Bombyx mori: one gene and its partner. The protein of the gene in region 1 interacts with the protein of each later gene in a pairwise test. Links are inferred from orthologs where the notes say so. Each region holds a gene or a part of one and is shown in the gene's direction. Other genes may lie near its edges. The genes, in order: serine/threonine-protein kinase pelle and Dorsal.

The links.
Region 2: the proteins of serine/threonine-protein kinase pelle (region 1) and Dorsal interact in a two-hybrid assay, tested with the Drosophila melanogaster proteins (2 studies listed by BioGRID). The link is inferred for Bombyx mori from reciprocal best matches to the Drosophila melanogaster genes pll and dl.

The regions. Positions count from the first base shown.
Region 1 is NC_085132.1:11,582,529-11,586,358, forward strand, and holds part of serine/threonine-protein kinase pelle, read left to right. Parts: intron 1-1,707; coding exon 1,708-1,861; intron 1,862-1,934; coding exon 1,935-2,072; intron 2,073-2,133; coding exon 2,134-2,260; intron 2,261-2,325; coding exon 2,326-2,490; intron 2,491-3,280; coding exon 3,281-3,623; 3' UTR 3,624-3,830. UniProt on the Drosophila melanogaster protein: Plays an essential role in the Tl receptor signaling pathway that establishes embryonic dorsoventral polarity; the signal directs import of dl into ventral and ventrolateral nuclei, thereby establishing dorsoventral polarity.
Region 2 is NC_085118.1:1,073,503-1,077,332, forward strand, and holds part of Dorsal (embryonic polarity protein dorsal), read left to right. Parts: intron 1-2,230; coding exon 2,231-2,383; intron 2,384-3,460; coding exon 3,461-3,645; intron 3,646-3,830. UniProt on the Drosophila melanogaster protein: Embryonic developmental transcription factor. The lateral or ventral identity of a cell depends upon the concentration of this protein in its nucleus during the blastoderm stage.

The DNA.
Region 1 (3,830 bases):
AAATAAGACATGACTTAAAGGTCTTAGTTACCAGAACATAAAATCCCTTAAAAAAAAATCAAAGCTGTCATTAAAAATACAATTGATTTTAATCGATTTGAAATCGATAATCATATTACTTTGTTAAGTAATAATAGACTTTTTCTTTATTTATGTATATAATCGCAATTAAATTCGCCGTATACCGCACTTGTATACAACAAGTATAAATCGCTCATTTAATTAATTTGCATTCATTACTTAATGTAATGTTTTTCTTTTTATAATCCTGTAATCGATTAATTAAATAGATCACACCGCTAAACCGAGAAAAACCAATTTTCTCATTTTTCTCCGGTCCCAGTAAAAGGATTGAGGTGATTTTTTATATTCTTACTAGCTGACCCGGCAAACATTGTTTTGCCATACTATATAAGATTTCTAGGGAATTTCTAGTGTAGAAAAAAAAACTAACTTATTGTAAGTGTATAAGGATGTGGTAAATGAGTGAAAGAGGTATGTAGTGCTGTGAACGATGAGGGAATATATAATAAAAATAACAAAACCTCATTCAACCACATAATACCTCATTATAACAAAAAAAAAATTGTCCAAATAAAAAAAAATATGTTAGGGGTGGACAACCCTAATCACTTAGGGGTATGAAAAATAGATAGTAGCCGATTCTCAGGCTTACTGAATATGCATAAAGAATTTCATGAGAATCGGTCAAGCGGTTTCGGAGGAGTATGGGAACGAACATTGTGACACGAGAATTTTATATATTAGATACAAAAAAATATGACAATTTTTTTAGACTACATTTCAAGTTATTACATTTTTGGCCCACGATTTTCCGTCTCCAAATTTATTGTATTCTTATTGCACTTGAAACACACACATCTCGTCTTTGTATATAGTGCGCGCGGAAGCGCTAGTCACCTCCTGAGGTATGTGGCGGGGTAAGACGGGGGAGGGCGTGATTGACAAGACGCACACGATATTATATTTAAGTGCAGATAAATCTCAGAATAACATGTTAGAATTAATGTAATGGGTACCTAATTGTAATATTGTATTTTTCTATTTCTTGGTTAAACAAAAAATTCATATTCAAAAGTGTTTATTAAATTTTATAATTTACGATACAAAACAATTTTATAAGCAAATTAACATTTGTTAATAAGAAAATAATAAAAAAAAACGCTATCACTGTTATAGTACATTATAAAAAAAATTAATTATTTATCTGTTTTTATTTTTTATCAACAATCTTTTTTATTTCATTAGGATTTCGTGGAGAAGTAAATTTTGGTTTTTCCGATTCGAAATTCCTTCAGCTACAATTCTCATTACGGTCTGAGAAAAAAAACTGCACATTGTAAATTACATTTTACCCATCTTAGGATATTTTATCTCGTGTATGTTTGGAGCAAACTGAACAACTGAATTGTGTAACCGGCGCGGTGGTCGAGTCGACGGGCGGCAGACTGAGTTAGCTTGACGTTTGTCTACCTCCCCCGCCCTGCCGCTCACATACCTCAGGCGGGGCTAGCGCTTCCACGCACACTATAATATAATGACTCTCACTCACACGAACACACACACACACGCGCACACACATATGCACACACATCCATACACACACCGGGCATTTAGATTTAGTACAATCGTGAGTCACATGTCGTCAGTGACGCAAGGAATAATGGTCTCGTTGTGTGACGCCAGGACACCTCGTCCGCGCAGTACGACAAGTACGATGAGATCCTGCGCAAGGTGTCCGCCATCCCGAAGATGAGCTACGAGGAGCTGCGGCTCGCCACGGACGACTGGAGCGAGCGCAACCTGCTCGGCCGCGGCGGCTTCGGACAGGTCTACAAGGGTACGTGCCGCGCCCCCCGCCCCCGCCGCCGCCCCCCCACCCCTGACGCTCATGACCCTCGGCGTGCCCGCAGGGGAGTGGAAGCTGCTGGGCGTGGCGGTGAAGAGGCTGCGCGACAATGAGGGCCGCGACCAAGAGCTCGTGCGGGAGATGTGCCTCAACCAGTACCGCCACGACAACATCCTGCCCCTCTACGGATACAGCCTGGGAGGTAGGTGAGCGCGCGCCGCCGCGCGGGGCCGCCAACGAGCTGACGAGTGTGCCGTGCGCAGGGCCCGAGGCGTGCCTGGTGTACCAGCTGATGGCGGGCGGCTCGCTGGAGCAGCGGCTGCGGCCCAAGGACGGCGCCGCGCCGCTCTCCTGGGCGCAGCGCTGCAGGATCATGTGCGGGGTGGCCAGGTATGAGCGGACATATCATCTGATCGAGAGATGGGAGCGCCTTCTGAGTGACAGACTGTTCGCAGAGGGCTGCAGTTCCTGCACACGATGACCGGCAGCGCGCTCATCCACGGGGACATCAAGCCGGCTAACATCTTGCTGGACCAGTGCCTCGAGCCCAAGATCGGAGACTTCGGCCTCGCGCGGAAGGGGCCCTACGGAGACGAACGGACGCATCTGAAGGTCTCACGGTCAGTGCTTGCAGCCTCACTCCGCGTTCATGACTTGTTTAATCTTAACTGTCACTAACTTAGCACTCGGGGGCGTGACGCATGCGCATCGTGATTAGAGATTAACCGATATCCGGTAAAGAAGGAATTGGTATTTGTTTTTCTTGATCGCGAAAATCACTACTATTATCCTTTGCCACTTCATTGAAACAGTCCCAGAAAGTGTCATGAGCTTCACGTGTGAAGTTAGATCCAGTTTCATCTTCTTTCATTCAAAACCACAACGACACGCATGAACAAAAACAAACTGACACGCGCGAACACTTGAACGCCCCCGAGTCGTCGCGATCTCCGCTCACGTGCGACAACACCCGAACTCGCACGAATATTTCCGAAAGGGCCGAATATCCGGCACTGCGGCCTCGCAGCTTGCCGAATATTCGGTATTCGGTATCCGGCCAAACCACTATCCGTTTCATCTCTTATCGTGATCGCTTGCACTGCGACGCGCGTTGCGCCGCCCCCGCCCCCGCGCCCGCGCGTCCCCCGCGGCTGCGCACACGGGGGATGGGGGGGGGGTATACCTACTTGACGGTCATTGTTGATGCTCAATGTATTCTTTCTTTCTAATTTTTAAAAAATCTCAGTCGCTTATTAATATGCCGTCCAGATACAATGCAGTACACGCAAAGATATCTTACTGCAACTTTTTATTAATAAAATTCAAAAAAATATTTAGCCTTCTGCATAATGACGATCGCCCCATCATTGTGACATGCCGTTGTTGACCCGATGTAACCGCATCGTGTAGAGTGTACGGGACGAGGCCCTACTTGCCGGACGAGTACCTGCAGTCGTGCGTGCTGTCGCCGGCCGTCGACGTGTACAGCTTCGGCGTGGTGGTGGCCGAGACCAGCACGGGGCTGCCGGCCTGGGACCGCTCCCGCGCGCGGCCCCTGCTGGCGCACCAGCTGCACTCGTGGCACGCCGCGCGGCACGACCTGGGCGCGCTGCACGACCCGCGCCTGCCGCCGCACCCCGCGCTGTGCCGCGCGCTGCTGGAGCTGGCGCTGCACTGCACGCAGCCGCCGCGCGAGGCGCGCCCGCCCATGCTGCTCGTGTACCGCCGCCTGCACGCGCTCGCCGCCTGCTAGCCGCACCGGCTGCACGAGCCGCGCCCGCGCCGCACCCCGCGCTGTGCCGCGCGCTGCTGGAGCTGGCGCTGCACTGCACGCAGCCGCCGCGCGAGGCGCGCCCGCCCATGCTGCTCGTGTACTTTACTGTTTCATCTTTACACCATTCATATTAACAAATAAACAACGAATTATCTATATATTTTAATATTTTAATGTAAATAAGTA
Region 2 (3,830 bases), on another chromosome or scaffold:
TTTAACACTAAACGGGGCGGGCAATCAAATAAAATAAAACCCAATTTTTTCAACGAACACCCATTCACGACATAGTAGCAGCCCACTGAGTTTCTCGCCGGATCTTCTCAGTGGGTCGCGTTTCCGATCCGGTGGTAGATTCTGCGAAGCACTGCTCTTGCTAGGGTTCGTGTTAGCAACAACGTCAGGTTCTAGCCCCGTGAGCTCACCTACTAGTTAAGGTTACGCTGAAATAGCCTCTCAAGGCTAGCAACTTGGTAGGAAAAAAAAATGCATAGCAGCCGATTTCGCTCGAACCGCAAGCCCGCTGCCAGCGTAAGCTAATAAAATTTTAAGTTGATATAAACAATGTTTCGAACTCAGTATGTATGTGGCTTTCTAATTATAAACGTGCTCTCATTACGCGGCCTGTGTGCATGACCTGTTAATATCTTCGCGTTTGCATTGTATTGGTTTTAATACGAGTATTCTTTGTTACCGGGCGAGATATATTGAATTACGGTTTAATCGTTTTATACCTTGAAACATGAGTTCTAAGTCTCAGTTTTCATGTTCAACGGCTACCCCATCCTTCGAACCGAAAGGCATTGCTGTTTCACTGCAGAAATAGGCAGGGTAGTGCCTATGTCGCAGGCAATTTGTATGATTCCGCCGTTTACAAACGGCGTCGTCATTATAAAAACGCTCGCCGTTATGTAAAATGCCGAAGGCAAAATGATAACTCGTTCAATAGTTATAATTTCGACATTGGTTGTAGTTTTAGGGTGACCACAATAAAATGCAGCTTATAATAATCAGACTTTATTTCTGTAATCAAGTACTAATGAAGATTTCAAGTAAGACTAAATTATGTGCTTTGATTCTCTTAAAGTACTTAATTAAAATATTTAAGTAACAAAACAACATTTAAATTACACACTTTATATTATGATACTCATGACAATAATAAAACTTCTAAGGATAATATGACACTTTCAAATAAAACAAACAGGTCGTAAGTAAAATCATATTTTGAAGTTTGAAGTATTCATGGTCTTGACTCTGCTCATTAAAATCTCGAGATATAATCGGTTTAACTACGATACCTTTATTTGGTATGTTACGTTTGGATTCACAAACAGGACATAACGATACGAATAAATCAATCGCTTTTCTCACACTAATAAATCTATCCTTCGTTTGATACTGAATTTTGTCTCGATCACCATGTCCGCAACCTCTATGAATCTCTAACAATACATCGGAATATTCGTTCAACGGTATTACACGAACGGTTGGACTACCAGGGCTATCCTTTTTAAAATAAAGTAGTCCAATTCACTGATGCTCAGGACCTCGTATTGTCTTGACCAGTAGTAATCTGCAGGAGTCCTCCGCGAACTAGATTCTGTGGCCACCTTAGCATTTTTTAGGTGCCGAATAACCTCAAAAATCTTACTATTTGTCCAAGGCTTTTTTACAGCTTCCATTTGAGAATTGTATTTTTTTTTTAATTCACTATAATATATGCCTTTAAAATCAGAATCTTTCCTAAAATGTCTTCTCCACACGATATATTTGCACTGTTTTCAGTTATTTTTTGACGCGGTTGTTATTATTTTGATCAACAGTGGCGCGCGTGGTAAAAAATTGAACTAAGCATTTCAATTCGCCGCGGCATTATGAAAACAGCGTTTGAATTGTCGATGCTATGTTGTGGCATATTATAAAGTGACACGGCAGTTTACATTTTGCCTTCGGCATTTTACATAACGGCGAGCGTTTTTATAATGACGACGCCGTTTGTAAACGGCGGAATCATACAAATTGCCTGCGACACCGACACCTATACGCTATCGCTACCCGTGCGAGATCACAAAACGCCCTGCCACCAGTAAAAGAAGAGTAACTGTGAAAAAATACGTATGCACTAAACTATGTACTGTTTCCTTTACCTAGATAATTACAAGGTTTTAGACGTACAGCTCGTACCAAAACCGCATCAGTGGTTTTAGTGTGACGCTCATACGAACGAATTAAAAAAAAAAAATTTTTGTAGTGCACGCTATCAATATTTTTTCTAAAGGTTTTACGGACCTTATGACATGAAACCGAAATTTCGACTACAAAACAGCTAAACCACCGCACGCGATTATCTGGAATGAGTTACTGCTTCGCCGCAGAAGTCGGCAGGACGGCGTTATCTAAATCGCAAAGAAAACTATGCGAACCTCACATATGTTTGTTGCAGATTCCGGTATAAATGCGAGGGCCGGTCGGCGGGCTCGCTCCCGGGCGTGTCCAGTACTCCGGAGAACAAAACTTATCCTACAATCAAGATATGCTCTTACAAGGGACCGGCCACCATAGTCGTGTCCTGCGTCAACAAGGATCCCCCGTTTAAGTAAGTGTCGTCTTTTTTTTTCTAAAATATTGTTACGCGCTGGTGTTCTATAAATAAAATTTCACCAAACTACAACAAAAAAACTGTATTAAAGACTTGGAACACTTAAACACTTCACAAACACTTTAAAACACTCAATTCGCTTGTTCCGCTTCGCTTCAGGTGATCCGTTCGCTGTTTCGCTTCGAGTAGTTCCGTTTACTGACTGACTGCGTGCGGGTTTACTTTGCTTATTTTTGGTGACATGTGGGGTGATTATGTCGCAGTGGTTATTTATTTTTTTACACATATTGACAACCTACACATTGTCTATGCTTGAAAACGAAACGCATTTTCGGGGATTCCCATGAATAATAATACGTTTACGTACTCGCTTGGAACAGAGTAGGGGAATTATTGCGCGCATATAAGTGAATATGATGTGCGTTAAAGTACTCTATCCTATAAGCCTATTTTCTTATTTTTAGAATTATAATTGCTGCTCATTAATCATTAAAAAAATTAGAATACGTTAGTAGAAAAATTCATATACTAATGTTCACGTTAGCATTTGGGGTCAGAGCTTTGTTTACTTATGCTGACAAGGGGAAAGGGGGGGTGAATGATTGTAATAAATTTGCTTACGTAATACTGGAACAAGGTCTTCTTCCAATGAATTCCGATCATACACAAATGAATTTTCAATAATAACACAATTTGGTTCGCGGTGTTGCAATATGTCGATTTCGAATTGTTCGAGATGATACCGTCATCTCGTTTTTACCATCCCACCGCCCGCCATCGGAATAGAGTTCATCCACAGTACGTTTCCAGAGGTCTTTTTTGCCGCGTACCATCCGGCTATGGAATGAGCCCCTCCACGGTGTTTCCCGAGCGCTATGACATGTTCTTCTTCAAACGAGTTAAGCGGTAGGCAGCGGCTTGGGTCTGCCCCTGGCAATGCTGAAGTCCATGGGCGACGGTATCCACTCACCATCAGGTGGACCGTGTGCTCGTCTGCCTACAAGGGCATTATTCCCTGGGCGTTGTCCTGCGGAGTTGTATGTATGTACCTGTTACGTGTGTGGTGACGCGCAGACCGCACCCGCACAACCTGGTGGGGCGGGAGCGCTGCGACCGCGGCGTGTGCTCGGTGCGCACCGACGTCACGGAGGACAACAACGAGTACCAGTTCAGGAACCTTGGGATACAATGCGTCAAGCGCAAGGACATCGTCGCCGAGCTGCGCCTCCGGGAGGAGCTCAGGGTGGACCCCTTCAGGAGTGAGTTCTATTAGAATCCAATTTTTTTATTCTAGGAATAATCACACGTTCACGTCACGCAATACACGAACACAAATAGTTTGGTAGAGTCGTGTTTCGAGCTATATAATTTTTAAAGGTCTCTAAACGTTGACGTCATTATACAAAATACTGCTTTCTGTGTCTGTCTGGTATGACTCGTAACA